3 linked regions of the Anolis sagrei genome follow. The protein of the gene in region 2 interacts with the protein of the main gene of each other region in a pairwise test. Links are inferred from orthologs where the notes say so. Each region holds a gene or a part of one and is shown on either strand. Other genes may lie near its edges.

Region 1 (7,459 bases), on a different chromosome or scaffold from region 2:
CCTCAGAGGTTGTGAGGTCTGTTGGAAACTAGGGAAATTGGGGTATTATATCTGTGGAAAGGAACATGAAAGGCACTGCAGACTATTTCAACCAGAGAAGTCAGCTATAGCAGAGCACCTAATGAATCAACCTGGACATAGTATATTATTTGAGAACACAGAAATGCTGAGCACTTTAACAACTACCATGTCAAGTTACACAGAGAAGCCACTGAAATCCACAAGCATGTGATCAATTTCAACAGAAAGGAGGAACCATAAAAATGAACAAAATCTGGCTACCAGTATTTAAAAAATCAGGATAGTAAATAAAGAACAAAAATAAAAAAGAAACAATCAGGGACACTAATTGCCTCTCAACAAAGGATTCCCCCAGGCAGTAAGAAGCCAGACCTTGAAAACCACTAGGCCATTAAATGCTAATCAAGGTAGCCAATTGAAACATTAACACCCACTGCACCACTGGGGGCTCCAACTGAGCAGAAATTGGGAGTCCTGCAGCAAGCAGGGACCAGCGGAAGGCAGAAAAATCCCCCTTGGGAAGGCTGCTGAGTCTGAGACTGCTATCCTTTCAAGGGGTCCTGAGGATTCGCAAAATGCCTGGTGAGCTATTAAAGCCAGTAAGATTTTCCCTTTCCCCAAATAATTCTCACCAGGTTGAAGAAAGGCCACCAAAGTTTATTTCTATTCCAGTTGGAAAGGTTGGGGTTTCAATATCACAGATATAGTAAAGGTAAAGGTTTTCTCTTGACAGTAAGTCCAGGCGTGTCCGACTCTGGGGGTTGGTGGCCATCTCCATTTCTAAGTCGAAAGGCTGGCGTTGTCTGTAGACACCTCCAAGGTCATGTGGCTGGCATGACTGCAAGGAGCACCGTTACCTTCCTGCTGTAGTGGTACCTATTGATCACCTCACATTTGCATGTTTTCAAACTGTTAGGTTGGCAGAAGCTGGGGCTGACAGCAGAAGCTGTCGAATCCCCGGATTCGATCCTGCAACCTTTCGGTCAACAAGCTCAGCGCTTTAACCCACTGTGCCACTGGGAGTTCCTTATCTGTGTCACAGATTTAGAAACACACTTTTCCTAGTTTCCAACAGACCCCTCAACCTCTGAGGATTTTTTTTTATCATGTAAGAAGTGACTTGAGAAACTGCAAGTTGCTTCTGGTGTGAGAGAATTGACCATTTACAAGGACATTGCCCAGGGGACACCTGGATGTTTTGATTTTTTTTACCATCCTTGTGGGAGGCTTCTCGCATGAGGAGCTGGAGCTGATAGAGAGAGCTCATCCACGTTCTCTCTGGATTCGAACCTGCGACCTGTGGTTTAACCCACTGCGCCACCGGGGGCTCCTCTGAGGATGGCTGTCATAGATGCAGGCGAAACGTCAGGAGACCCGCCTACCTGCGTGACCGCATCTCCGCTTACAAACCCACACGCTCACTTCGTTCATCCGGAGAGGCCCTGCTCGCGATCCCACCTGCGTCGCAGGCGCGTTTGGTGGGGTCGAGGGACAAGGCCTTCTCTGTGGTTGCCCCCCGACTTTGGAACACCCTCCCCAAAGACATTAGACTTGCACCCACGTTGGCAGTCTTTAGGAAGAACTTGAAGACCTGGCTATTCCGATGTGCCTTTCCAGAATAGGATAACCTCCAGCACCTTGTCCCAGAAGCACTTTACTAGAGTTTAATACTCTCTGCACATTGCACTTGCCCAGAACTCCAACATACCACCTCTCACATCCAGCACCTTTTTTAACCTGAACCCTTCATTGGCCTGGCCCTGATTTTATTGTATAATAGTGTAATGTTTTGTTGTGTTATTGCTTATGTTTTAATTTGCTTGCATCGTTATTGTCTGTTGTTGTTATGTTGAGGCCTTGGCCTTTGTAAGCCGCATCGAGTCCTTCGGGAGATGCTAGCGGGGTACAAATAAAGTTTAATAATAATAATTAATAAAAATGCTTCTGGAACATGGCCATACAGCCAAAAAACCTAGAACAACCCAGAGACTGGACTGTATTATTATAATAACCAAACAACAAACAATCAATAGCGGAGAAAAGTGGGTATGTGCAGATTTGAGGGCGGAAGAGAACTAGAGTAAAGTTATTAGGTTCTTGTGGGGTTTTTCGGGCTATAGGGCCATGTTCTAGACGTTTCGCCTGCATTTATGGCAAGCATCCTCAGAGGTAGTGAGGTCTGTTGGAATTAGGACAAACGCACCAAACACAGCGCCCAAACACAAATCAAGGAACATGAAAGGCACTGCAGACTACTTCAACCAGAGAAGTCAGCCATAGCAGAGCACCTGATGAACCAGCCTGGACACAGCATATTATTTGAGTACACAGAAATGCTGGACCACACCAACAATCACCATGTCAGACTACACAGAGAAGCCATTGAAATCCACAAGCATGTGATCAATTTCAACAGAAAGGGAGACCATGAAAATGAACAAAATCTGGTTACCAGTATTAAAAAAACTCTAAAATTACAACAGCAAAACAGCAGAGAGGAAACAACCAGGCACATCTTAGCACCTCTCAACAAAAGGTTTTCCCAGGCTCAGCCAGGCCTTCAAATGCTAATGAAGGTGGTCAGCTGAAACATTCACACCTAGCCCTAGCAGAGAAGAGCTCTTTGCCCCACCCCAGCCATTCCACAGATATATAAACCCATTTTCCTATTTCCAGAAAAGTGGGTATGTGCAGATTTGAGGGCGGAACAGGACTAGAGTAAAGTTGTTGTTATTATTATTTGGAAGTAAACGAAAACAAATCCCTCAATTTTCTGGGGTTTTTTCCCCTCCCAGACCTCCCCTCTCCTTCTCCCTCTCTCACCCGCCTTCCTCCTCTTCTTGTCCGCCCCCGGAGCCGCCGCCTCCTCCGTCTCCTTCTCCCCCGCTTGGCTCGGCCCCACCGCGGCCAGGCTCCTCCATCCCGCCGCCTCCTCCTCCTCCTCCTCTTGGGCCTGGGCCCGCCCTCGGCCTCTCCTCGGCGCGCCGGAAGTGCCGCGGGCGTGACGTCGCAAGAGCGCGCGGGGTAGAGAAAGAGAGCATAGCCAGGCCTTTAGTGATGACGCGTCGGTGGTTGCCAAGGCGACGGCGGAGGAAGCCGTCCCCGCCCCAATAGGAGCGATGGCGAGGGAGGGAGGGAGCCGAGGAGGGAACCAAAGAACTCCAGCTCCGCCCCTTGACCTGAGAAGAGGCCCCGAGCCCTTCTCCTTGGGACACAAAGCCGTTCTCGGAGGAACTGACGGGCGGAGGGAGAGAGGGAAGGAGGGAGAGGCGCAGCGGTGACTCGGCAAGCGCGTGACGTCATCAGTGCCTGCCACGCACGGCCTCTCACCCTTCACCCCGGATGCCTCCGCGGAGGGAAATAGTCCCTCGGTAATCTGCTGCTAGAGGACGCCTCGCTTATTAGTCAGGGAAGGGGAGGAAGGGAGGCCGCGGCGGGGCTTCTCCGGAAGGGGAACGAGTAAGGAAAGAAGGAAAGACGGGCCAGAGAGAGGTAGAGAGAGAGCCTGAGTGAGATCCGGCACGGTATCCTTCCGCCTGCGGGAGCGGTGCTGAGGCCGCGCCGCCGCCATTTTGGATGCCAGGCTGCTGGTTCTACCGCCGCTGCCGCCGCCGCCTTTGCCGCCGGGACCCGGCCCGGTGAGTGAGCGAGGGAGCCGGGGAGGGAGCCGGGGCCCGGAGGAGGCAGGAAGGGGAGGACCCGCCAGGAAGGAAGGAAGGGAGGGAGGGGAACACTGGGCCCTGCCCGGCCCTGCCTGGCCGGGTCGGAGTTGGGCCTCACCGTCAGGTCCCTTGCTGCAGGGAACTCTTCTCCCCTCCACTGTCTTCCCTCCCTCGCGCCCTCCTGGCTGAGAAGGCCTTCCTCTTGAAGGCAGAAAGCTGTCAAAGCCAATCCTGGTCATTTTTTATATACAAGCCGTCCCCGGGTTGCAAACACCTGACTTACAAACGTGTCCTAGGTCAAACGAAGCTCAGACAACAGGAAGTGGGAGGAACCCACTCCATTATATTAGTTCTATCTGTCATATAGTAGTCCCAGAGTTGCAAATGACTCCTAGTTCAAAACCTGGCTGAGACAACAGGAAGTAAAAGGAATCTTCCCCTCAGAAGGAAGGGAAATCCACTCCCGGAAGAGTCATCATCAGGGGGAAAGACTGGGTGGCCTTTGGGGGTTCCTTCCAAATTTATGATACTAGTTCTATCTGTCATATGGTAGTCCCAGAGTTGCAAACATCCGACTCACGAATGACTCCTAGTTAAAAACCTGGCCGAGACAACAGGAAGTGAGAGGAATCGGAAGGAAGGGAAATCCACTCCCGGAAGAGTCATTGTCAGGGGGAAAGACTGGGTGGTCTTTGGGGGTCCCTTCCAAATTTAGAATACTAGTTCTATCTGTCATATGGTAGTCCCTGAGTTACAAACATCTGACTTAAATGACTCCTGGTTAAAAATCTGGATGAGACAACAGGAAGTGAGAGGAATCGGAAGGAAGGGAAATCCACTCTCGGAAGAGTAATCATCAGGGGGAAAGACTTTGGGAGTCCCTTCCAAATTTATGATACTAGTTCTATCTGTCATATGGTAGTCCTAGAGTTGCAAACATCCGACTTACAAATGACTCCTAGTTAAAAACCTGGCTGAGACAACAAGAAGTGAGAGGAATCTTCCCCTCGGAAGGAAGGGAAATACACTCCCGGAAGAGTCATCATCAGGGGGAAGACTGGGTGGTCTTTGGGGGTCCCTTCCAAATTTATGATACTAGTTCTATCTGTCATATGGTAATCCCTGAGTTACAAACATCTGACTTAAATGACTCCTGGTTAAAAACCTGGCTGAGACAACAGGAAGTGAGAGGAATCGGAAGGGAAATCCACTCTCGGAAGAGTCATCATCAGGGGGAAAGACTGGGTGGTCTTTGGGGGTCCCTTCCAAATTTATGATACTAGTTCTATCTGTCATATGGTAGTCCCTGAGTTGCAAACATCTGACTTACAAATGACTGCTAGTTAAAAACCTGGCTGAGACAACAAGAAGTGAGAGCAATCTTCCCCTCGGAAGGAAGGGAAATCCACTCCCGGAAGAGTTATTGTCAGGGGGAAAGACTGGGTGGTCTCTGGGGGTCCCTTCCAAATTTATGATACTAGTTCTATCTGTCATATGGTAGTCCCTGAGTTACAAACATCTGACTTACAAATGACTCCTAGTTCAAAACAGGGCTGAGACAACAGGAAGTGAGAGGAATCTTCCCCTCGGAAGGAAGGGAAATCCACTCTCGGAAGAGTCATTGTCAGGGGGAAAGACTGGGTGGCCTTTGGGGGCCCCTTCCAAATTTATGATACTAGTTCTATCTGTCATATGGTAATCCCTGAGTTGCAAACATCCGACTTACAAATAACTCCTAGTTAAAAGCCTGGCTGAGACAACAAGAGCAATCTTCCCCTCGGAAAGAAGGGAAATTTACTCTTGGAAGAGTCAGGGGGAAAGACTGGGTGGCCTTTGGGGGTCCCTTCCAAATTTATGGTACTAGTTCTATCTGTCATATGGTAGTCCCTGAGTTACAAACATCCGACTTACAAATGACTCCTCGTTAAAAACGCGACTGAGACAACAAGATGTGAGAGCAATCTTTCCATTGGAAGAAAGGGAAATCCACTCTCGGAAGAGTCATCATCAGGGGGAAATACTGGGTGGTCTTTGGGGATCCCTTCTAAATTTATGATACTAGTTCTATCATAAATCACACACATGCACCTACAGGTAGTCCCTGAGTTTAAAACATCTGACTTACAAATGACTCCTAGTTAAAAACGAGGCTGAGACAACAGGAAGTGAGAGGAATCTTCCTCTCGGAAGGAAGGAAAATCCTCTCCTGGAAGAGTCATCATCAGGGGGAAAGACTGGGTGGTCTTTGGAGGTCCCTTCCAAATTTATGATACTAGTTCTATCTGTCATATGGTAGTCCCTGAGTTACAAACATCTGGCTTACTAATGACTCCTAGTTAAAAAAACCTGGCTGAGACAACAGGAAGTGAGAGGAATCTTCCTCTCGGAAGGAAGGGAAATCCACTCTCGGAAGATTCATCGTCAGGGGGAAAGACTGGGTGGCCTTTAGGGGTCCCTTCCAAATTTATGATACTAGTTCTATCTGTCATATGTGTGTATCACACACATGCACCTACAGGTAGTCCCTGAGTTTAAAACATCTGACTTACAAATGACTCCTAGTTAAAAACGGGGCTGAGACAACAGGAAGTGAGAGGAATCTTCCTCTCGGAAGGAAGGGAAATCCACTCTCGGAAGAGTCATTGTCAGACTGGATGGCCTTTGGTGTCCCTTCCAAAATTGTGATACTGTATCTATCTCCCATGTATATGTGTGTGTGTCAGGCATGGGTAAACTTTGGCCCTCCAGGTGTTTTGGACTTCAACTCCCACAATTCCTAACAGCCACTGTCAGGAATTGTGGGAGTTGAAGTCCAAAACACCCAGAGAGCCAAAGTTTACCCATGTCTGTACACACACACACATACAGGTAGTCCCTGAGTTACAAACATCCATAACACCTGGAGGGCCGAAGTTTGTCCATTGCTGATATATATGTATATATGCACACACATATACAGGTATTCCCTAAGTTATAAACATCCAATTTACAAACAACTTTTAGTTAAAAATGAGGCAGAGACAACAGGAAGTGAGAGGAATCTTCCCCCTCAGAAGGAAGGGAAATTTGCTCCTGGTAGAGTTATTATAAGGGGGAAAAGGGGGCTCCACTGAAACTTTGTCTCCAATCCTTGATTCCACAAGCAACCTTTTTTTTTTTTTTTCAAAATCCAATGATCACAGGGATAGAAAGTGAGGTGGGATCTTCTTCTTCTAAAATTATAAATAGGTGTGTGTGTGTGGCTGGAGTAACTTCTGGACTGCCTGTATATCAGTAGGTTGTAATTGCTTGAATCGTGTTGCCTATTTATTTTTAGCAGCTCTATGTTTCATGTTAATTTCGTGTTTCAGTTGTACGTTGTGTTTAGCATTGATAGCCGCTATAAGTCTCCCTTAAAACGGGAAAGCTGGATATAATACTGATAACCACAATAATAACAACAGTGCAGGCAGTGGTCTTCCTTGGGCCATTGGCAAAAGAGGCTTGTCCCTGTGCTGCTGACCGGATGGTGAAGCTGGCTTAAAAAATGAACTTGTTAAAGGCTCCCAGCAAAACCAAGCCAGGTGCAATTTCCAGAAGCTGACATCAACAGCCCTAGCTTCTTTCAGAGTCATATAACACGGGGACCCTTGGAAGCTTCCAGATGGAATTGCAGAGACCTGTAGCTTGTTGTGGGTCTTCAAGTTCTTTTGGAGGGAGAAGGGATTGTCTTTGCCTTCCTCTGAGACTGAGAGGGTGTCACTCGCTCAAGGTCCCCCAGTGGGTTTCCCCTGCTC
Region 2 (7,717 bases):
TTCATTAAACACGGGCTACAGCTTTTCCATATAGGTTGAGTATTCCTTATATGAAATACTTGGGACCATGAGGGTTTTGGAGTTTGAACTGCATGTATTTGCATATACCTGCATAATCTTGGAGATGAGACCCAAGCGTAAACGCGGAATTCATCTATATTTCCCAGACACTTTATAAACATAGCCTGAATATTATACACAATGTTTTTAATGATTTTGTGTACAAAACAAAGCTTGTGTACATTGAACTATCAGAGAGCCAAGGTGTCACTACCTTAGCCACCCATGGAGACATCTTTGAGGTATTTTGGAATTCCAAACAATGGATGCTCAACCTGTTTAAAGGATACTTGAATACTCTACTTTGCAGTAGAGAAGTTTCCTAAAATGAGAAGATATTAGTACTACAAACCTAAAGATACTACTACTAGGTTCTGTAGGTTTGTTAAGATGAATTTGTATGTAAGTCAGAACAGGTCCATTTTTAAGTGTAACTCCAGATAGATAGAAATATATAAATATAAATACATATATACATACACACACAAGCAAGCTTTGGATAGCCTGTGGTGTTTATTTTGCTGTGTGTGCCCCTGTTCAAAAGATTTAACTTCACTTTCTGTCCCTGTGAAAATTGAATTTTGGAAAAAAAAAAACCCAAGGAAACAAGGAGTGGGACTAAAGTTTCAATTGTGACACCTTTTCCCCAGGACAACTCTTCCAGGAGTGGATTTCCCTTGAGAGGTAGATTTCTCTCACTTCCTGTTGTCTCACCCCTGTTCTTAACTAGGAGTCATTTGGAAAGCAGTTGTTTGTAACTTGGGGACTGTGAAGAAACATGAGGACCATGTATAAATATGTGAGGAGAAGCCATCGGGAGGATGGGGCAGGCTTGTTTTCTTCTGCCCTGGAGACTAGGACGTGGAACAACAGCTGCAAACTACAGGAAACCTAACATTAGGAAGAACTTCCTAACTGTGAGAGCTGTTGAGCAGTGGAACTCTCTGCCCTGGAGTGTGGTGGAGGTTCCTTTTTTGGAGACTTTTAAGCAGATGCTGCTTTACAATGTTTTTAGACTGGACTATGGAGAGGCTCTGGACTGGGCTGTTGGTCGCTGAATCAAACTCGGATATGGCTATATGGTTAATAATAATCTTTAAATGGTTTTTAATTTAATGTATTATTTAATGTTTTTATTGTAATGTATTTAATGTATTATTTGTTTTATTGTAATGTGTTTAATGTATTATTTAATGGTTTTATTGTAATATTTTGTATGTTGCCGGCATCAGATTGCTGTCATTGTAAGCTGCCCTGACTCCCCTCTTGGGAGTAGAGAATGACGGGGTATAAATGTTTGAAATAAATAAATAAAATTTTCCTGCTTCTTGGCAGAGGGTTGGATTGGACGGCCCACAATGTCTCTTCCAACTCTATGATTCTATGAATGAAGAGATGACCAATGCTGTAGATCAGTGGTTCTCAACCTGTGGGTCCCCAAATGTTTTGGCCTACAACTCCCAGAAATCCCAGCCAGTTTACCAGCAGTTGGGATTTCTGCGAGTTGAAGGCCAAAATATCCCAGGACCCACAGGTTGGGAACCACTGCCGTAGATTATATCTGTCAAGAAATTTACAAAATCACTTCTAAGTATTCCCTGCTGGTAGGGGGGATGGGGTGGACAACTATGAGATCTATTTGCCACCATTGAGTCAATAGATGAGTCAAAGGCACATAAAGATAGATGCAAGGGCTCGATCTACACAGCCCTGTGATGCAGTTCCACAATGCAGATGAACTGGAGTGATGATACGGCAGTGTAGACTAGGCATGGGCCAACTTGGGCCCTCTAGATGTTTTGGACTCCAACTCCCACCATTCCTCACAGCCTCAGGCACCTTCCTTTTCCCCCTTGGCCGCTTAAGCGGCCGAGGGGGAAAAGGAAAGGGCCTGAGGCTGTGAGGAATGGTGGGAGTTGGAGTCCAAAACACATGGAGGACCCAAGTTGGCCCATGCCTAGTGTAGACTCTCAAAATCCAGCCTGAGGTTGTGAGGAATGGTGGGAGTTGGAGTCCAAAACACCTGAAGGACCCAAGTTGGCCCATGCCTAGTGTAGACTCTCAAAATCCAGTTCAATGCCTTCTGAAACTGCATTGCAGGCCAGTGTAGGTCCAGCTCAGGGCATCGATCAGACTGACAGCGTTGTTTAACAGTGTCTCTCTCAAAGTAGCAGCTCACGACCATAAACAACAACACAGGGGTGATGAGGAGACGTGCCTGGGTGCCAAGATCACACGTGACGGTGTACACGTAGGTGACACGCCATTTTCTACAAAGAAAAAAAAGCGGCATGGTGTGTTACCAGGGTGTGAAGACAGAATGAGACTGAGAGAGAGACCTCAGAAGGAGAGAGCTGGGCCTCGCGCCCTCTGAGGCCCACTCACAGCAGAAGCAATAGCAGTATCCGTTTTCCCTCAGAAGAAGGGGATTTTTGGGCCTCTGTTTCCTACCTGCATCCCGCCACCGCCGTCGGGCTCCGCCTCGGTCCGCAGCCTCTTGCTCTGCCCGCCCTCGGCGCCCTCCCCGCCCGGCATCGGCTGCTCCAGCTCGGGCTCCCGCTTCAGCCCTCGAGGGGCGGCCGAGGAAGAGGAGGAGGAGGAGGGGACGCCGCCGCCGAGCACCAGCTGCTGGTGCGGGATGCCTTCCGCCATCCGAGCCGGAGCCCGGCCGCCCCGCTTTCCCTCAAGGAGAGGAAGGAAGGCTTCTCCCGGTGGAGGCCCAAGCGGGAAGGAAGGGAGGAAGGAAGGTCGCTCGCTGAGGGGAAAGCACTGAGTGAGGCTTGTCTCTCTTGCTTTCTCTCTTAGGGGGAAAAAAAGGAGACCCGACGAAGCGCCGAAGCAGTTCGGGGCCTGTGCCGGAAAGTGCCGAGGGCGCTCGGGAAAAAAAAAGACCCTCGGCAATCTCCGGAAAGCACTCGAAAAGGAGACCCTCTCACTCGGGAATGGCGGAGTCAGGGGGAAAGGGGCGGGGCTACTGCCCTACAAGGGGCGGGGTTACGGAGGGAGGGAACGAAAGGCCCAGGCGGGAAAGAATTGAGTGAGGTTTCTCTTTGAGGGGGAAAAGGAGGCCCGCCAAAGCGCCGATGCAGTTCGGAGCCTGTGGCGGAAAGTGCCGACGGCGCTCGGGGAAAAAAAAGACCCTCGGCAATTTCCGGAAAGCACTCGAAAAGGAGAGCCTCTCAGAAAGCTTCGGGATGGCGGAGTTGGGGGAAAGGGGGCGGGGCTACTACCCTAGAAGGGGCGGGGCAACGGAGGGAGGGAAAGAAGGTCGCTGAGGGAAAGAACTGAGTGAGGTTTTTCTTTGAGGGGGAAAAGGTGGCCCGCCGAAGTGGCGAAGCAGTTCGGGGCCTGTGGCGGAATGTGCCGACGGCACTCGAGGGAAAAAAAGACCCTCGGTAATCTCCGGAAAGCACTCGAAAAGGAGACCCTCTCACTCGGGAATGGCGAAGTCGGGGGGAAAGGGGCGGGGCTACTGCCCTAGAAGGGGCGGGGCTACGGAGGGAGGGAAAGAAGGTCGCTGAGGGAAAGAACTGAGTGAGGTTTTTCTTTGAGGGGGAAAAGGTGGCCCGCCGAAGTGGCGAAGCAGTTCGGGGCCTGTGGCGGAATGTGCCGACGGCACTCGAGGGAAAAAAAGACCCTCGGTAATCTCCGGAAAGCACTCGAAAAGGAGACCCTCTCACTCGGGAATGGCGAAGTCGGGGGGAAAGGGGCGGGGCTACTGCCCTAGAAGGGGCGGGGCTACGGAGGGAGGGAAAGAAGGTCGCTGAGGGAAAGAACTGAGTGAGGTTTTTCTTTGAGGGGGAAAAGGAGGTCTGCCAAAGCGCCGAAGCAGCTCGGGGCTGTGGCGGAAAGTGCCGACGGCGCTCGGAAAAAAAGACCTTCGGCAATGTCCGGAAAGCACTCAAAAAGGAGACCCTCACACTTGGCAAGCTTCGGGATGGCGGCGTCGGGGGATAGGGGCGGGGCTACTGCCCTAGAAGGGGCGGTGCCTGTGGCGGAAAGTGCTCGGAAAAAAGACCTTCGGCAATGTCCGGAAAGCACTCAAAAAGGGGTCCCTCTCACTCGGCAAGCTTCGGGATGGGAGAGTAGAGGAGGAAGGGGCGGGGCTACTGCTCTAGAAGGGGCGGGGCCACGGAGGGAGGGAACTAGAGGCCCAGGCGCGAAGGAGGGAAAGAATTAAGCCAGGCTTCTCTGAGAGGGAAAAGGACACCCGCCGAAGCACCGAAGCAGCTCGGGGCCTGTGGCGGAAAGTCCCGACGGCGCTCGGGGGAAAAAAAAAGACATTCGGCAATGTCCGGAAAGCACTCGAAAAAGAGACTCTCTCACTCGGAAAGCTTCGGGAATGGCAGAGTTTAGGAGAGAAGGGGCGGGGCTACGGAGGGAGGGAATGTTTATTCTCCTTAGTTTGAGTCTGGCGGAGGGAAGGGAGGAAAGCGCGTCATCTGGCTGCCAGGCATTGTGCCAGCAATGTGTCTAAATTGGGCACCATGGTTTTTTTTTCTGCCAGAATGCTTTCAGCCACACCAAACAGTTGTGGTGCTTCAACTCCCACAATTCCTAACAAGGCAAACTTTGGCCCTCCAGGGGTTTTGGACTTCAACTCCCACAATTCCTAACAGCCGGTTATTTTTAGATCTCAATTGCAAAAGCTTTTGGAATATCACTTTAATATTTTATAGTTTAATATATTTTGATTGCCAGTCCACCCCCTTCACATTCAAAGCATCCCTGGCAGATGGCCATCCAGCCTCTGTTTAAAAGCCTCCAAAGAAGGAGCCTCCACCACACTCTGGGGCAGAGAGTTCCACTGCTGAACAAATCTCACAGTCAGGAAGTTCTTCCTAATGTGCAGGTGGAATCTCCTTTTGTGTCGTTTGAAGCCATTGCTCCACCTCCTCGTCTCCAGGGTAGCAGAAGACAAGCTTGCTCCCTCTTCCCTATGACATCCTCTCATATATTTATACATGGCCATCATGTCTCCTCTTGACGTTCTCTTCTGCAGCCTAAACATGCCCAGCTCTTTATGCCGCTCCTCATAGGGTTTGTTCTCCAGGCCTTTTATCATTTTAGTCGCCCTCCTCTGGATACATTCCAGCTTGTCAATATCTCTCTTGAATTGCGGTGCCAAGAATTGGACACAGTGTGATTCCAGGTGTGGTCTGACCAAGGCAAAATGGAGCGGTAGCATAACTTACCTGGATCTAGACACTAAACTTCTATTTATACAGGCCAAAATCCCATTGGCTTTTTAAGCTGCTGCATGGCATTGCTGGCTCACGTTTAACTTGTCAACGAGACTCCAAGATCTTTTTCATACATACTCCTGTTGAACCGGGCATTCCCCATTCCGTATCTTTGCATTTCATTTTTTTTTCTGCCTAAGTGGAGTATCTTGCATTTGTCCCTGTTGAACTTCATTTTGTTAGTTTTGGCCCATCTCTCTGATCTGTCAAGATCGTTTTGAATTCTGCTCCTGTCTTCTGTGGTATTGGCTATCTCTCCCAATTTGGTGTCATCTGCAAACTTGATGATCATGCCTTCTGACCCTTCATCTAAGACAGTGGCTCTCAACCTGGGGTCCCCAGATGTTTTTGGTCTACAACTCCCAGAATCCTAACAACTGGTAAACTAGCTTGGATTTCTGGGAGTTGTAGGTCAAAAACACCTGGGGACCCCAGGTTGAGAACTACTGATCTAAGACATTAATAAAGATGTTGAACAGAACAGGACCCATCTTACATTGTATCCATGGATCCTGCATCCATAAATGTAATCACAGGCAGGTTTAAAATATTTTTAAACATTCCCGAAGGCAGACTTTGATGTCGTTTTATATAGGGACACCATTTTACTACACCATTGTATGTATATCAAGGGACGTGAGTGTCTACACATTTCAGTATCCATTGGGAGCGGGGAATGCTGGAACCAAATCCCAGCAGATACCAAGAGTGCACTGTATATTGTATATTTTTTTGTATTTTATCTAGATGATTAATATTTATCTAGTTTTATATGCAGTGGCTCAATTGGCTAGGAGTTACGTTGTGGCGCAGTTGGCTAGGAGCCAGCTGCATTAAATCACCACTGACCGAAAGGTCATGAGTTCAAAGCCAGCCCAGGTCGGAGTAAGCTCCTGACCATTTGTCTAGTTTGCTGTTGACCTTTGCAGCCTGAAAGACAGTTGCACCTCTTAAGTAGGAAATTTAAGTACTGCTTATGCGAGGAGGCTAATTTAACTAATTTACGATGCCATAAAAATCTCCAGCAGCGGGCGAAAGAATGAGGAAGTACTCCATCATGGACTCGGTGCTACAAGTGGACCGTAAAGTGACAGCTCCCCCGGTGGCCAGAATTCGAGCATATCTTCATGAAGCTTAAATTGCCTCTGTGTTTCTCTATATCAGGGGTCCTCAAACTTTTTCAACAGAAGGCCAGGTCACAGTCCCTCAAAGTGTTAGAGGGCCGGATTATAATTTGGAAAAAAAAATGAATGAATTCCTAAGCACACTGCACATATCTTATTTGTAGTGCAAAAAACACTTAGAAACAATACAATACTTAAAATGAAGAACAATTTAAACAAATATAAACTTATTAGTATTTCAGTGTGAAGTGTGGGCCTGCTTTTGGCTGATGAGATAGGATTGTTGTTGTTGTGTGCTTTCAAGTCATTTCAGACTTAGATTGACCCTGAGCGAGGGCCGGGTAAATGACCTTGAAGGGCCGTATCCTGCCCCCGAGCCATAGTTTGAGGACACCTGGTCTATATATTGTGTGTCTATGGCATTGAATGTTTGCCATGTATATGTGCACTGTGATCTGCCCTGAGTCCCCTGCAGGGTGAGAAGGGCGGAATATAAATGCTGTAAATAATAATAAATAAATAGTTCCTTTTATCCACATCTGATAAATCAGGTCCTCTCCAATATTTTCTATGTTCTCCAACATGACTTCTTGGGCAAGAAGTCCTTCATTTGAGTAATTTCACATATCCATGTAAAGCCCAGAGAATGCAGAAATCACTTGGTATTCATTGGTGATCTCCCATCCAATTACAAGCCAGGCTGACTCTGCTTAGCTTTCAAGGTCAGGCAGGCAAGACTTTTCATGCCTAATGACTGGCAGCTGACCCTCCTCCATTCTTTGGCAGAAGCTAATCTTCCTTTATCTCTAAATATATAAACCTAAGTGGTGACAGGATGTTGAACAGTGCGATACCCAGAAGGACAACCTCCCTTCCAAAAAGACAATAAACACAGGTGCAAACTGGCACCCTCTGCAGCGTCCTTCATCCCATGCAGTTCCCTTCCCCCATATTAATTTGGCTGGTTGCCCAATGACTGCTGATTGAACATCAGCCACTTAAACGCCATCAATAGAACACAACACTAATTAGTGCATGATTCACTAGTCTTATTAGCAGAGGAATCGGGAACAGAACTTGGGGGGAGGGATCCTTTCCCAGATTCTATTCAGTTTTCCTACTGGCGTTTGGTCTCTTCACTGTTCATGGTATTTATTTACTTAAATGTTTATGCTGCATTTCTAATATGGGACCCAAAGCAGCCACACACAAGAGAGCACATCAAGGCACGATCACACGTATTAAAATCACTATGTTGGCTGTCAAGTTAGTTTATGGCAATGGTAAAAA
Region 3 (7,916 bases), on a different chromosome or scaffold from region 2:
AACAGGGAGCTCTGGCGTGGGCTGGTCCATGAGGTCACGAAGAGTCGGAGACAACTGAACGAATGAACAACAACATACTAAACAAAAACATAAAATTTCCAGGATGTTTTTAAAAAATTAAAAACAACTTTTAAGTAAGACCTCCAACGCCAATTGGCCAAAAAATGATCTTTCTTCTGCCCAAACTACTACTAGTAAAAAACAAAAAAACAAAAACAATATGTCACTTCATAGATTGTCAGTTCTTTGTAATAGAAAATGACTAATCCTGCCCATGATTTGGGAATGGAGAATTACACCAATTCCTATAATCACAAATATTTGTGAATATATAACTTTAGCCCTTAAACTCATTAAGTCCTAGCTCTTTAAAAGTTTTGGCATATTTCTTGGTTTTGGCTTAAAGGCTCACAATGCAATCCCTACACTGTTACAACTGTTTTCCAAAAAGAAAGAACTGGCGCCCCTTAGTGTTCAAATATTAAAACATTTACCTCATCCACTGAATTTGCATGGAACATTTTTTCAACATTCCAGAAAGTTTTCAGCATATGCAGTTCTTCCACCCAGGAGCCAAAATAAACAGGAAAAGCAAAAAAGATTTAAAGGGGCAGTTGAACTTTCCCTTCAGGCTACCAAGAAAAGAAGAGTGGAAGAAAAAAAATAAGGATGGAACAAAACCAGATATAACTGTTTTGCTAGATTAACTTCCAATCTTTGTTTTGGACTTTTGAAAATAATACAAGGCCTGTTCATTCAAAGACTTTCAGAGCTTCAGGGGCATTTTAAAGGAACAATGACCTCACACATTCCATTTAAAATAGCCCTTTGGTACAATAAACACACCACTCTTTTGATCTTGACAAAGTTGGTCAGTCTTCTTTCCCAAATCAAACCAATTGTTCAGGAACTTCAAAAATTCATTGTTCATGCCTGTGTTTAATCGATAAAAATTATGTTGTATTGCTTATTTTGTAATTCAGAAAGTATTCAAAAGAGTTCTTTCAAAGAGATCCCAACTAGTCAGTGTTATCCAAACAGAATGTGGTCTGGAAAAAAAATCAGTCAAGGGGCACCTCACAACTATTTGGTAAATATGTTTTCAGCGGAAATATGTCATGGGATCAGTCAAGTCTATGAAGAATTCTGTATAGAATTACTCTCTTCCAAAAAAAAAAATCTAAATACTCAGACTAGGATCAAAACTGAATGTACACAACCACCCACATCTACATGGTAAGACCAAAACTCAATGTGCACAACCTCCCACGTCTACATGATAAGTTCAGCCACAACGCCCTCAAACTGAGGTCTGAATTCCCAAAAAACGATTTGGATTGAAGACTTAAAACTCAACCTGGTCCAAGAGAACATAATCACCATGAAGTCTGGAGCTTCCATGTCCAACCTATTTAAACATAAAAAACTCCTGAAGCTTGTTAGTAGTACTCCACAAAAGTGGCCTCTTGCAACTAACTCCACAGGGTGGGAGGCAGGCGGTGGGGAATCGGATAGTTGGCTTGGGATGAGCAGTGAGGATTCAGCAACCTTTCTGCGTTAGCTTTTTGGCACCAGAAATCGAGAACTTTCGAGTGAAGAGGCTTCAGTGTAAAAACCGAATGGAGAAGTTGGGTCTGTTTACTCTCAAAAACTTCAACCACTTTTTAGTCCAAACTGCCCGGTAGGGACGAGAGCCGAGCCCTTTCCACTTCCTGCCACCCCCTTTTTCTCCCTTCCAAGCCAATCTGAAACCAAACAAACAAAGGACACCCCGAGATCCCTTTCTGGACGTTGCAAAACTCACTCGCTTAACCAACACTGCTGTAAATCACGCCACTCGGCCTACTACTACTACTACTACTTAGTTGCGTCCTATGTGGAGTCTCAAAACTCTCCCCAAACTATCTCTCCCCTCGGCCTTTTTATAAAAAGGGCTACCTTAAGTCTTTAAAACAAGAGAACCGCGCCGAAGGGCCGAAGAAAGCCTCGCCTTCACTCCCTCCCTCAAAGGCCAAAACTTCTCGCCGAGAGAGAGAGAGACTTCCCGCTTCGTCTCTTTGTTTACGGGGAAGGAGGCAAGGCCAAAAAAGAAAGAGAGCAAAGAGGACGCCATTGAAGGGGCCAAAAAGAGGAGACACATTTTTTTTCACCGTGTATCCTCAAGGCCTAAGTTTTGTTTTGATCCAAAATAAAGAAAAGAGCGTGGTTTAAATTCGTGTATTATGATTATTATGATTATTATTGTGGCGGTTGTTGTTTGTTTTTACCTTCGTCCAGCAGCCTCTCGAGGTGGTTGAATATCCCGCAGAAGTTGGGGAGGCTGCTCATGAGCTTCTTGTCGTTCATGAGCTGCATCAGGTAATCGGGGCTGGGCTTGGGCTTCTCCTTGGTTTCCATTTCCCCCACCATATTCCCAGCGCGGCCGGAGAGCGAGCCGGGCGCCCGCAAGCCACACTCGCACTCGCCAGGCGGGAGAGGCCTCTTCCCCCCTGGAAGAAAAAGGAGGCGGGAGGAGGAGGAGGGGGGAAGGAGGGAAGGGGAGGAGGAGGAGGAGGAGGGACCCGCGGCCAGGGAAAGCACGGCGGCGGCGGCGGCTGCTCCTGCTGCTGCTCCCGGCGAGGAAGAACCAGAACAAGGAGGCGACTCCGACACAAACGGCGACACCGCGGAGGGGGCTGGGCGACCGCCACCCAAGCCTGCTGCCGCCGCCTCCGCCTCCTCCTCCGCTTGGATAAGGATCCCCGGCCGCCGCTCCCGCCTTGGAAGCCTTTCCTCCTCGGTGTCGTGCCGCTTGCCCGCCTCACTCGCAGCAGCCGAGGCGCCCGCTCCTCCTCTTCCTCCTCCTCGGCGGCGGAGGCGGGCTTGTCTTCGCGAAGAGTCCCCGCCGCTGTTTGTAAGGCTGTTTGTAAGGCTGCTCCCGGCCACCGGCGCTGCTGCTGCCGCTGCTGCTCCTTCTTCCGCCGCTGTTGCTGCTGGTGTGGTTCTGCTTGTGCCGCCGCCTGCCTGCCTGCCTGCCTTCCCTCCCTCCCCTCCCTCCTCCCCTCTTCCCCTCTTCCCCTCCCTCCCTCCTCCTCCCCTCCGCTGGTGCCGTTTGCTGGTCGCTGGCGAGCCTCAGCCTTTCCGACCACTGCCACTGCCGCCGCCGCCTCCTTCTTCGTCTTGTTCCTCCTCCTCCTCCTTCAGTTCGCTGTGGAGTTCGCTTCAGTTCAGGCTGCGCTGCTGGCGGCGAGGGGAGGAGGAAAAGGAGGAGGAGGAGGGGGGGGAGCGCCGCCGAGGAGCAGGGGCGGGGCGGCCGTTAATCAGCCCTTGGCGGCGGCCCTTGGCGGACTCGGAGCCCTCGACTCCGCCCCGCCCCTACGGGGGGGGGGGAAGGAAAAAGACTTGGGGGCTCTCTCTGGCGCCGCCGAGAACGGGAAAGCGCTTCACTTGTGAGGAGAACCACGACAAGAAGGTGGTGGTGGCGACGGCGGCGGTGGTTCTTCTCCGCGCACGCGCACCAGGACAGCACACAGAAATTTCCTTTTTTCACATATATATCTATCTACGCTTGTGGTGGGTGTTAAGGAGCCGGATGGGCGGGCGCGCGCACACATATCCGAAAAGAACGTTGGTTTGAAAAAAGAAAAAAAAAGGGCTCGTGCCGCTATACCTCGGATATAGTACTACTCGCTACGACGCGCGAGACGGCGCCTGTTGATACGCGCCTGCGCGAGGGCGCGCGAAGGAATGAACATTTCCCCCCCACCACCACGTTCCTCTATCTCCCCCCCCCCGCAACGTCCTCGCGCGTGCCTCCCTCCCTTCCCCATTTTTATTTATTTATTTAGAAACTCCTCCGTTAACACACATACACACAAAAAAACTTCAACCAATCTTGCGTTTAAGGCGGGACCGCGTCACGTGTTGCCAAGCTCCTGAAAAAAAAGGGAGGAGGGAGGAAAAAGGAAAGAGTCCTAATCGTAGATCGTTTTTGGTTTTTTTACTATTAAAGCGCATGCGCTCAATAAAGTCTGTTGGCTTGGCTTTTTTTTTTTAGACGGGGGGCGCGCGCCTGCCTGCTTGCCTGCCCGCCCGCGCGCCTCCAACGGTCTCGCGCCCTTCCTCCTCTTGGAGGTGTCGGAGGAAAGGAATGGGAGGGGCGGGGCCGAAGCTCGCGCACGAGCGCCTGCGCAGTAGGTAGGGAGAAAGGCACGTTCAAGAGGGGGGGAGGGGGGTTTGCCTGGCGGAGGAGTCAGTCGGTTCTGTTCCTGGAAGGAAGGAAGGTGCTCTCGCCTCGCCTTCGGTCTTCCCTTCCGCTTCTGAGGGGAAGCCCCGACAAGTACCGCCGCCCGCCACGCGTTTCCCCTTCTTGGGCTCCCTTCCTCGCCTCACCACTCGACCCAGGCCCGCTCTCTCTTCCCTTCCGTTTGCTTAACGCTCTGAGGAGGAAGGGAGGGCGAGGAAAGCCGCGGCTGGCAAGGCGAGGAGGAGGCTTCGGCTGCCATTCTGGAGTCAACCCCGCCGAATACATCGAACGGAACTTCCTCGGGAGTAAAGGGGATTCCTCAACTCCTTGTGGTTCCCTCCTACGACACAAGCGCATCAGGGCAGGCAGATGTAGAAACCAGGAGCCAGATTTATGCCTTCGTTCACACGAAGCCTGATTCTGCACTGTGGAATGAGTGCACTTTGACACCACTTTACCGCCATGGGATCGTGGAGGGTTGTAGTTTTGGCAAGGCCTTGGCCCCGCCAAACAGTGTCGGCGCCTCACCGAACTACAACTCCCACGATTCCATAGCAGTGAACCCCGGCAGTTTAAAGTGGTATCAAGTTGGGTTATTGTGTATTTTTCTGGCTATGTGGCCATGTTCCAGAAGCATTCTCTCCTGACCTTTCGCCTGCATCTATGGCAGGTATCCTCACAGGTTGTCCTTAAATATTTATTTATTTATTTCGGGGGACTCAGGGCGGCTTACAAACAGGCACAATTTGATGCCTACACAATAATACAATAAACGTATAAAAACAGCAGTTAAACGGTTAAACAATTAAAACAACAATATATGTCACAGTCAATAGCCAATCTCAACCAACTCAGATTCCATACTTCGTTCCACATTGTCTGTTCCTATCCGCCGTCGCAGTCCTTTATTTATCTGCCAGAGTGCCCAAACGCCTGGTCCCACATCCATGTTTTTAATTTCTTTCTAAAGGAAAGGAGGGATGTCGCTGATCTAATTTCCTCGGGGAGTGAATTCCATAAGTGAGGGGCCACCACTGAGAAGACCCTGCTCCTCGTCCCCGCCAATCTCACTTGTGACAGGCGGAGCTGAGAACAGGGCCTCCCCAGAGGATCTCAAACTCCGAGGTGGGACATAGAGGGAGATGCGTTCGGACAGATACGCTGGGCCGGAACTGTATAGGGTTTTGTAGGTCAAAACCAGCACTTTGAATTGTGCTCGGAACTGGATCGGCAGCCAGTGGAGCTGACACAACAGGGGGGTGGTATGCTCCCTGTATGATGCTCCAGTGAGCAATCTGGCTGCCTCCTGCTGGACTAATTGAAGTTTCCGAACAGTCTTCAAAGGCAACCCCACATAGAGTGCATTGCAGTAATCTATCTGGGATGTAACAAGAGCATGGACCACCCTGGACATTCCACAGATATATAAACCCCACTTGCGAAGTTCCCAACATCCGTCATAACCTCTGAGGATACCTGCCATAAATGTGGGAAAAACATCAGGAAATAATGCTTCTGGAACATGGCCATACAGCCCAGAAAACTCACAACAACTCACAGTGATTCTGGCCATGAAAGCCTTCCACAATACATGGTGTCAGATTGTACTCACTCTGCAGTGTAGATGCACCCTGTGTGCGCGCCTTCAAGTCTCATCCACTTAGGGCAGTGGTTCTCAACCTGTAGGTCCTCAGATGTTTTGGCTTACAACGTCAAGAAATCCCAGCCAGTTTACCAGCTGTTAGGATTTCTGGGAGTTGAAGGCCAAAACATCTGAGGACCACTTAGGGAGACCACATACTTCAGAGGGGTGTCAAGCATGAAGGACCCGGGGTTGCTTTCCCAGTCTCTTGCTCTCTCAAACATAGTATTTGCTGGTGGCCTTCCATCCAAGTATGAGCCAGGGTTGATTTTGCTTAACTCCCAAGGCCACATCCTCTTCTATCTGGTGCCTTTACGGCAGGCATAGGCAAACTTGGGCCCTCCAGGTGTTTGGGTCTTGAACTTCCACCATTCATAACAGCCTCAGGCCCTTTCCTTTCCCTCCTGAGCTGCTTAAGCGGCTGAGGAGGAAAAGGGAAGGGCTTGCAACTATTAGGAATGGCGGGGGTTCAAAACTCCTGGAAGGAGGGCCCAAGTTTGGCCATGCCTGTTTTAGGGTGCTTAGCATGTATCTTTGCTGTAGAATTAATGCGATTCAATGCCCCTTGAACTTTGAAAGAGTCATGGGAGTTGCAGTTTTAGCCTTCTCTGCTAGAGTGCTTGTGCCTCAGAAAACTACAATTCTTCTGCCCCCATATTGAGCCATGGCAAATAAAGTGGGGTCAAAGTGTGTTAATCCTGCAGTGCAGCCTCAGGGCTGGATCTACACTGCCATATAATGTAGATTCAGAAAGCAGATTAAATCCATTCAATGGTATTGTATGAATCTATACTCCAGTATAATCTAGTTCAATGAAACTGCATTATATGGTGGTGTAGATCCAGCCCCGGGATCCCAGCAGGTCGCCCCTCTCTTGCCACATCATCTTCTATCTGGTGATATATATATATAATATGGAACCTCCAGTGGCGCAGTGGGTTAAACTGCTAAATTTGCTGTCCGAAAGGTTGGTGGCTAGAATCCTGGGAGTGGGATGAGCTCCTGCTGTTAGCTCCAGCTTCTACCAACCTAGCAGTTCGAAAACATGCAAATTTGAGTAGATCAGTAAGTACTGCTTTGGCGGATAGGTAATGGCGCTCCATGTAGTCATGCCGGCCACATGACCTTGGAGATGTCTATGGATAACGCCAGCTCTTTGGCTTAGAAATGGAGATGAGCACCATCCCCATAGTCGAACTCGACTAGACTTAATGTCAAGGGGAAACCTTTCCCTTTATACACACACATTATCACAATGAGCTGATCCTCAAACTGTCAGGATCCTAGGACTGTTGTGCTGCTTTTGCTCGTTTTAGCCCCCATCCCTCCTTTCTTCATCTCTGCCTGCATCCTTCTCTCTCTCTCTCTCCCTCCCCCTTGAATTCTTCCTTTGTCTTTCTTTCCGGCGCTTAAAAGCCCAGCGACAGCATCAGTGCCGGGGGTTCACTTTCAAATATGCTCTTGTTTGCACTATATCTGAGCTAGGAAAAACAGAAAATCTGTTCCGCCTTTCTTTGCCTTTTTTTTTTGTTTTGTTTTGTCAGAGGGGGATGCTTGGTCGCTGCAGAAACATGCGAAGCGGATTGCACTTGGCTGGCCCGACTCATTTCCTTTTCCCGTCATTGTGGAAATGTGTTATCTCTACCCAGATTTTGCTTCCCACGGTGCCTCCGACTGTCTTGGCCATGTGTTGTTTGAGGGAGGGCACTTCATATTCAGTTTACTCCCCTTGTTAGAAATTGTTTCGCAGCCGCCTGCACACACTATTCCTTTTTTTTTCTTTTTCTTTTACCCTTCAGAACTTCTCTAAGTCTCTCACAAAGGCTAGGCTCAAGTACTCGTTTTGGGGGAAAGGACCTCTTTGCTTGATAAGATTTTGCAGACCCATTTGATCAGGAGCCCGTTGTGCTTTCAGGGGTCCCTACTCATGGGGAAAGCTCTCAGGCTGGAGTCCTACTTGACAAACCTACTGAAATGGATGAGTAAATCAAATTAACATCAATATGAGCAAAGCTCTTATCTGCTTCTGCGGTTCTCTGTTTTTTGATA

Evidence for each region. The genes of interacting proteins can lie anywhere in the genome.
Region 1: the proteins of RBFOX2 (region 2) and ATXN1L interact in binary tests that used the Homo sapiens proteins (3 or more experiments, as listed by UniProt). The link is inferred for Anolis sagrei from reciprocal best matches to the Homo sapiens genes RBFOX2 and ATXN1L.
Region 3: the proteins of RBFOX2 (region 2) and QKI interact in binary tests that used the Homo sapiens proteins (3 or more experiments, as listed by UniProt). The link is inferred for Anolis sagrei from reciprocal best matches to the Homo sapiens genes RBFOX2 and QKI.

The regions. Positions count from the first base shown.
Region 1 is NC_090028.1:29,558,541-29,565,999, forward strand, and holds the start of ATXN1L (ataxin-1-like), read right to left. Parts: upstream 3,094-7,459; 5' UTR 2,845-3,093; intron 1-2,844. UniProt on the Homo sapiens protein: Chromatin-binding factor that repress Notch signaling in the absence of Notch intracellular domain by acting as a CBF1 corepressor. Binds to the HEY promoter and might assist, along with NCOR2, RBPJ-mediated repression.
Region 2 is NC_090025.1:166,833,433-166,841,149, reverse strand, and holds the start of RBFOX2 (RNA binding protein fox-1 homolog 2), read right to left. Parts: upstream 3,101-7,717; 5' UTR 2,713-3,100; coding exon 2,512-2,712; intron 1-2,511. UniProt on the Homo sapiens protein: RNA-binding protein that regulates alternative splicing events by binding to 5'-UGCAUGU-3' elements. Prevents binding of U2AF2 to the 3'-splice site.
Region 3 is NC_090021.1:66,442,371-66,450,286, forward strand, and holds the start of QKI (KH domain-containing RNA-binding protein QKI), read right to left. Parts: upstream 3,094-7,916; 5' UTR 2,410-3,093; coding exon 2,268-2,409; intron 46-2,267; exon of another isoform or gene 31-45; coding exon of another isoform or gene 1-30. UniProt on the Homo sapiens protein: RNA reader protein, which recognizes and binds specific RNAs, thereby regulating RNA metabolic processes, such as pre-mRNA splicing, circular RNA (circRNA) formation, mRNA export, mRNA stability and/or translation.